Saccharomyces cerevisiae S288C: one gene and its partner. Changing the gene in region 2 together with the main gene of any one other region gives a genetic interaction. Each region holds a gene or a part of one and is shown on either strand. Other genes may lie near its edges. The genes, in order: CWP1 and SPO1.

Evidence for each region.
Region 1: of SPO1 (region 2) and CWP1, extra expression of one rescues a mutant of the other (dosage rescue), as found in Saccharomyces cerevisiae (2 studies listed by BioGRID, with this or other methods).

What each region holds. Positions count from the first base shown.
Region 1 is NC_001143.9:259,001-262,381, reverse strand, and holds CWP1 (Cwp1p), read right to left. Parts: upstream 1,251-3,381; coding exon 531-1,250; downstream 1-530. Other genes in the region: mRNA splicing protein YJU2, read right to left, coding at 1-105; CWP2 (Cwp2p), read right to left, coding at 2,851-3,129; YKL096C-B (uncharacterized protein), read left to right, coding at 3,160-3,309. UniProt on the Saccharomyces cerevisiae protein: Component of the cell wall.
Region 2 is NC_001146.8:607,953-612,473, forward strand, and holds SPO1 (putative carboxylic ester hydrolase), read left to right. Parts: upstream 1-1,733; coding exon 1,734-1,838; intron 1,839-1,922; coding exon 1,923-3,713; downstream 3,714-4,521. Other genes in the region: HEF3 (translation elongation factor EF-3), read left to right, coding at 1-1,501; YNL011C (uncharacterized protein), read right to left, coding at 3,884-4,521. UniProt on the Saccharomyces cerevisiae protein: Regulates spindle pole duplication in meiosis I, but not in mitosis. Required for meiosis I, meiosis II chromosome segregation and spore formation. Binds phosphatidylinositol (4)P mono- and polyphosphates.

The DNA of each region.
Region 1 (3,381 bases), on a different chromosome or scaffold from region 2:
ATTCATGGTTTTCAGTTTTTTAGCCATTTTCCTGGATAGCTTTTCAGCTTCCAGTGGGTTGTAATCCGGTGGATAGTACTTGTTAATAGCTTTTCTTTCAGACATTCTTGTATTCTCCTATCAGCCTGGAAACGGTTAATTTGGTTTGACTTATTAGTTCGTTCTACTGAGGTCACCGTAGTGATTTCTTGCTTTTTTTCGAATATGTACAATAAATAACAACTCTATGCGTATTAGCAGTCAGTGGAACAAACTTGAGATAGCTACTCTTATCTCCTTTTCTGTATATCCATCTTTCTACATGCAGCAGAGAAACCGCCGGCGGGACATTCACCTACTTTTCTACAAGTTTAAATTTTTCAAGCGAATCGGGGAATGTGAGAGCTGCATGCAAGAAAAGGAATGTAGGTAGGAGGACAATGTAAGAGAATATTATGGGCCATTTCATATTACATTACGCTATATGTAAGTGATCATTATGTAGAAAGCTATATTGAAGGAAATAAAACATGCAGGTTTTGTTCTCGTACTTACAACAAGTAAGCAGCTGCGACCGCTAGAGCACCAGCACCCATGCCGACGGCAGCCTTGGCACCTGCATTTTCTGTTTGTTCGTAAACTGTGTTTGGAGCTTGGATTTGTCCATCAGTAATTTGAGAGATAACTGAAGCAGTTGGGGAGCTAGCAGAGGAAGTTTCCACAGTAGTAGAGGTCTCGACAGATTCTATACTCGAACTATGCTTTGTAGAAGATGATGCGGAAGCAGACGAAGCAGAAGCAGATGAAGAGGAACTAGAGTCGCTTGGAGAAAAATCTGCTGCAACAGATCCGCTCTTACTAGTTGGTCTAATCGCAACACCGGTAGCGTCGTCGGATTGCTTAGAAGAGAAAATGTAAGACGACCCGTCCTTGATAGCGTAGAAACCAGAAGAGCTCTTGTAGTTTAGATGGCCATCTTTAATAGAAAAACCAGTGGCAGCATCGCTCTCAGAACCTTCTTTGAATGAGCCATCCTCATTGACAACAGCATACTTATCGTCGTCAAATTTCAGTTTACCGTCATCGGTAATAGTTGCCTCAAATGAGCCACTACCGCTGCCAAGTTTCAAAGTGCCGTTATCACTGTAAACACTCAAGTATTGTAAATCCGAGCCGGAACGGATACTCACCAGGCCGAATTCTTCGGAATCGGCAATGACCATCTTAGCCAAGGCGAATAAAGCGACAGACAAAGCAGTGGAGAATTTCATTATTGTTTTTTGAGACTTTCGTAGTATTTATTAGTTTGTTACGGGATATTTTACTTCAGACAGAAAAAAAATTCAAGGAAGATAGCGAAAGAAAGAAACGTTAAGATCGTCCTTTAAATAATTGAGATTTTGTTTGTTTGCTTTTTTTTTTTCTGCACCACAAATTATCAAAATTAAAAGGTGAAAAAACACTACATTGAACGTGAACCACAGAGCTTATTGTTTGTTGTTTTTTTTGTTTTCTTTTGTGGCACCTTCGAGATGGCTCTCCTGGAGTAAGTTACCGTTGTGGGACAACCCGCACGCACAGACGTAAGCGGACCCGTATTCCAATCGGGCCGAAGGGCCCTTTTCGTTCAGGGAGCTGTGGCTAACGCTATTTTTAGTTATGACGTACGGTGCGGCACCATCTATAACGCGAAGAAGTACTTTTTTTAGCTCTCTTTTTTTGTTTTCGCGGGAGGGGTTTGTTTATTATGATATTTTAACGGGATAGAAGGTCGAGCACACAATGTTTGCCGTCAAGAGGGGTATCTGCTTCTATATTCGTAACTTTCCAGATGTCCGATTTTTTTTTTCATTATTACCTCGAGCTACGATTCGGTACACATACATTCTTATTTTGAAACTTGTTCACCATATCTTTGCAAAAATTAATGAGATTCCAATGTTATGTATGGGTGAAGTATAAGACGTGGTTGCAGCATCCCTTAGTATTTGTCTAGTGGGGTTCTTCACTACTTACTCTTGAAGCATAAAAAAGAAAACAAGGCTAGCTCTAAAGCATCGTAGATGAATCTCATTAAGAAAATTCAGCATGTGCGAAGGAAGGTACAGTTTTAAAGTCGCATCAATGCCCATAATAAAGGGATTAATGGCACTGTGCTAAAATGTGCCAGGTCATGAAAATTTCATAGCGCATTGGCAAGCGACTTTAGCGCGCGCCAACGTGATATTTCTTGTAAGTTCAAATCCATCCGAGGGGCAATTGTAGTGAGGACAAAAGTTCATTGAGTTCTAGATTATTATTTTGTCACACGTCTCCCTTGAATTTGTAAAATATTTTATAAGTGGAAGTAAAGTATAGAAAATGGCAGAAAAAAAAGATCCCACCGTAGCACACCAATATCTTTCCCACTTTCTTTTGAACAGGTAACAGATAACGAAGATGGTAAAAAGATAAAGGGAAGAACGGTCAGCACTTTCGCCTATGTTTTTCACGCCTTGACTCTTTAATCGCAGCTAAGGGCGAAATTCTTTATGCACACTGGTCTGTTGAAACAAGCATGCATGTTTTTTTCACCTTAGGGGCGCAGGAAACATTGTGCATAGCCAAGATCTCAGCAAACTCGAAGAAACCCAGTCTCTAATACATTCATTTCGAGTTCAAATTTTTGACTCATTCGAAGAGAAATCACAGGAACATCGTTAAAGTAAAAAGTGTTTTATTTTTATGGTATCTACCTATTCAAAATAACAAAAATTATTTAAAATTATGTGTAAAAATATATTAACGAAAAGAAAAGAATCAAACACTTACCTAGTAAAACCGAAAATTTTGAAAAAAGCCATATAGATATTATAAAAAATCAGAGATTTCTTATAACAACATAGCAGCAGCAGCTAGAGCACCGGCACCCATACCGACAGCGGCCTTAGCAGCACCATTTTCAGTTTGTTGAGAGATAGTTTCGGTGCTGGATGGAGAAACAGTTTCAACGGTGGAAGATGGGGCAGCAGTGGTGGTAGCTTCGGTGGTAGCAGTGGTAGTAGCTTGGATTTGACCGTCAGTGATTTGAGAAATGGCGGCAGCGGATTCAGCGGCAACAAAGTTAGCCAAAGCGACGAAAGCAACGGAAGCGACAGTAGAGAATTGCATTTTTTTTCTTGTTAGTGTGTAGCGAATGTGATGAAGTTATTTATTCTTGATTATGAGAAGAAAAGAACAAAGATAGGAAAAGGGATGGCAAGAAGAGAATTGAAAATGATGAACAAGAAGCCTGATTTATATACGATTATTGTATCTTATTTTTCAATTTTTTCGTTGTTTTTTTTTTAGAACGTTACATTTCTCTGTTTGGCTTTTGGTCTACGGTTCCCCAAATGCAGTTAAAGAATGGCAATAATACGG
Region 2 (4,521 bases):
TGGAGGTTGGAAAATGAAATTAGCTTTGGCGAGGGCTGTTCTGAAGGACGCTGACATTCTACTATTGGATGAACCAACAAATCATCTAGACACTGTTAATGTGGAGTGGCTGGTAAATTATTTGAATACTTGCGGAATTACATCGGTGATTGTCTCTCATGATTCTGGTTTTCTGGATAAGGTTTGTCAATACATCATACATTATGAGGGTCTTAAATTAAGAAAGTACAAGGGTAATTTATCAGAATTTGTTCAAAAATGTCCTACGGCACAATCATACTATGAATTAGGTGCCTCTGACCTTGAATTTCAATTCCCAACTCCTGGTTATCTAGAAGGTGTCAAAACGAAGCAAAAGGCAATTGTTAAAGTAAGTAATATGACTTTTCAATATCCAGGGACAACTAAACCACAAGTCTCAGATGTTACTTTCCAGTGTTCTCTATCCTCAAGGATTGCAGTTATCGGACCTAATGGGGCTGGTAAGTCCACTTTAATTAATGTTCTTACTGGTGAACTGTTACCAACCAGCGGTGAAGTATATACACACGAGAATTGTCGTATAGCGTATATTAAGCAGCACGCTTTTGCACACATTGAATCGCACTTAGACAAAACTCCATCCGAATACATTCAATGGAGGTTCCAAACTGGTGAGGATAGGGAAACAATGGATAGAGCAAATAGGCAAATAAATGAAAATGACGCAGAGGCCATGAATAAAATATTTAAAATTGAAGGGACCCCAAGAAGGGTTGCAGGAATCCATTCAAGAAGGAAATTTAAAAACACGTATGAGTACGAATGTTCGTTTTTGTTAGGTGAGAACATTGGTATGAAATCTGAAAGATGGGTTCCAATGATGTCTGTCGACAATGCTTGGCTACCAAGGGGCGAATTGATTGAATCCCATTCTAAAATGGTTGCTGAAATTGATATGAAGGAAGCTTTGGCTTCTGGTCAATTCAGGGCTTTAACAAGAAAAGAGATTGAATTACATTGCGCCATGTTGGGGTTGGATTCAGAATTAGTCTCACATTCAAGAATTAGAGGTTTATCGGGTGGGCAAAAGGTTAAATTGGTACTCGCTGCCTGCACGTGGCAAAGACCCCATTTGATTGTTTTAGATGAACCTACGAATTACTTGGACAGAGATTCATTGGGTGCTCTTTCAAAAGCATTAAAAGCTTTTGAAGGTGGTGTCATTATTATTACGCATTCGGCAGAATTTACTAAGAATCTGACTGACGAAGTTTGGGCGGTTAAGGATGGGAAAATGACACCCTCTGGCCATAATTGGGTTGCAGGACAAGGTGCTGGCCCAAGAATTGAGAAAAAAGAAGAAGAGGGTGATAAATTTGATGCTATGGGTAACAAGATTAATAGTGGGAAGAAAAAAAGCAAACTCTCTTCTGCAGAATTGAGAAAGAAAAAGAAGGAGAGAATGAAGAAGAAAAAAGAGATGGGTGATGAATACGTTTCTTCTGATGAAGATTTTTAATTTGAAGTCGAGTACATCTCTTTCAGTGAGTAACTTATATATTTTTGAAGTTAACATCCTTATTCTTTTTTTATATTTTTATTTTTTTTATGTTTATTTTCTATTACTGATTTTCACAAAGAAAGGTAAAAAAAAACATACTTCAGCGGCTATACAACCATATTTAAGTAAATGCACTCAGAGAAAGTATACAAGTAAAAAACCTAAGTAAAGACATAAATATCCCAAAATAATGCAAAAACTCCTCTTTGTCTTTTCTGTGTTATTGACAGTAGTACTAGCAACAGCACCATTTCAGGTACAATGTCCTAGCTCTCCACTTATTAGGGAGGCCAAAGTAAGTTAAACTCTTTGCCACTTTAACAAATATGGGCCAAAACTAACCGAATATACCAAAACTTCGTATTCCTTTGTTTATTAGCATGAACTCTGTCCAGAAGAAACCTTGTATCTGAAGAAAAAAAAAATTAAAACGAAGAATAAACTGATTCAGTTTTTAAAATCCTTGACAGAGGCAAAGTTTAGTTCGAAGTTTTATAAACGCGTGTTGAAAGATCCTCCAAAAATTGGGATTGCTATATCTGGCGGCGGGTACAGATCCATGTTAGTAGGTACCGGATTTATTTCCCAAATGAACGATTATGGCCTTTTTGAATATTCGGATTATATTGCTGGATTATCAGGCGGAAGTTGGATCTTGATGGATTTGGTAGTTCAAAATTTTGAAGTAAAATCCCTGCTACAAGAGTGGGACCTTGAAGAGGATCTTTTATTAGGCATACCGGAATTCGATATTTCCGAAGAAGAAATTGTTACCAATGCAAAAAAGGAGTATAATGATAATGATTTGAAGATGAAGAAGCGTCAGGGGGGTTCTCTGATTACAAGCTCTTCAAATTTTTATGAACAAATAGAGGAGATCATGAATTCCATAGAAGAAATCCCAGAAGACTATATGATAACGAAGAGAAACTTGAATCCATTAGCAAGACTAAAAAAAATATTCTTTCCTAACAACACTTTCACTGGAACTGATGCGAAGATTGAAACCTTTAAAAAAGTGCTAGACTTTTACAAAAGTTTGCATTTGAAAATTAAGCCTAAAAAAATGGAGGGTTTCCAAATATCGTTCACCGATTATTGGGGTAAAGCAATCGTTCAAAGACTAAAAAAAAATTTCGATGACGATCCCAACCATTCCTTTTCGTTTTCGAAGCTTGTAAACTCGTCTAAAAAATTTAAGGAATGCAGTGTGCCGATCCCAATATTCGTTGCAAATTGCAAAAATGGACTTCTTTCAAACGTTATATTTGAATTTACGCCCTTTGAATTTGGATCTTGGGAAAATATCCTCAGACTTTTCGTCAAGTTGCCCTATTTGGGCTCAAAAATTGTTTCTGGAAAGGCCGAGAAGTGTATTAATAACTTTGATGATCTAGGTTTTATTACTGCGACGTCTTCTTCAATATTCAACAATGTGCTCATCTTCATCTGGAATTTGGCTTCTCAGTCCTCCAGAGAAGCAATGAAAGCTTTGAATATGGTTATGGGAATTTTTGGCCTAGGTAAAGAGGAAATATTTAGTATTTCGAAAGACTCCTCGAGATTAGAGACAGACTATGCCGTATATCAACCCAATCCCTTTTATCTTTATCCTGAAAAAGACAATGTCCTAACTAACAAAAATCATTTATACCTTGTAGACGGCGGAGAAGACGGCGAGAATATTCCACTCAGAACATTGGTGATTCCTGAAAGGGAACTAGATGTAATTTTTGTTCTGGATTCTAGTTCGGATATTGACAACTATCCAAACGGCTCCAAGTTAAAAAGGATATTCGAAAAATTAGATGAAGAGAACGTTCATTACCAATTTCCGAACAATGTAAAAACATTCACTCACCCCATTGTTATAGGATGCAATGCTACCAAAAGAACTGGACATGATTCATTTTTGCCAATTATAATTTATCATGCCAATGCGAATCATGGAAACGCATCTAATACGTCGACATTCAAAATAACTTACAATCAGTCTGAAGTTAGCAGTATGTTACCCACTGGAAGGGGAGTGTTTAGCAATGATTATGACCTTTATTATAAAAATTGCTTAGGCTGTATATTAACCAAAAGAACAATGGACAGGCTCCCAAGAAAAAAGAAATTTTCGCCATTTTGCTTACAATGCTTTAAAGACTACTGTTACTCATAAGAGAGTAGACTTTTTCTGTGAAATTTAATGAGTTTTTGTTCACCTTTTTTACTTTTCTTCTATGCCATATGGTTAAATAAAACATGGTTCAAACGCGATTCTTTTTTATTATCTATGTCTTTATTATGTAGTCTTCACTATAATAACCGTTAATGAGCGACATAGTTGCATCAGTTTTTAAGGCCAATTTGATTCAGAACCTTTTCAAGTTCTTCACTTTCCATCTTATCCGAAGACGCGATCTGGTGGCATCTAATACTATGCTTCTCGAATATCGTTTCATCAATTTCAATTTCACCATTTTTTAGGTAAACAATATCAGTAATAAAATCTTGCCATTCAAAGTCATCATTCTCTGAATGGACACCCTTAGATTGCCTATAGCCTGCTATTGCCCTACTCATAGAATCTATGATCATTTGAACGTAGTGTAAACCGTCTAAACCAAAAACCTCTCTATCATATTTATTATTTATGAGCAAAACTTTTTTCGTATTATTAGATTCCAAAATTACTTCAGCAAGATTACCAAGAATAAGGATTGGGAGTAAACTTGTCATTAAAGAACCGATAGAATAAACGACCATGTCAGCTTTTTTCACCTTGGAAATAGCTCTTGGATTTCCCATTGGTTTTATCTCTTCGCCATATGGGTTTATATACAATATCCTATGTACCGGAGCAGGTAGATTCTGTGATTCATCAAGCTTGTCAAAATGCAACTGGGAGTTTTTCAGTTCTGGAAGAATATAGATAGGATTGGCATACTCCTCTTCCGCTTCTTCTTCCTCATCGTCGAGGAGAATTT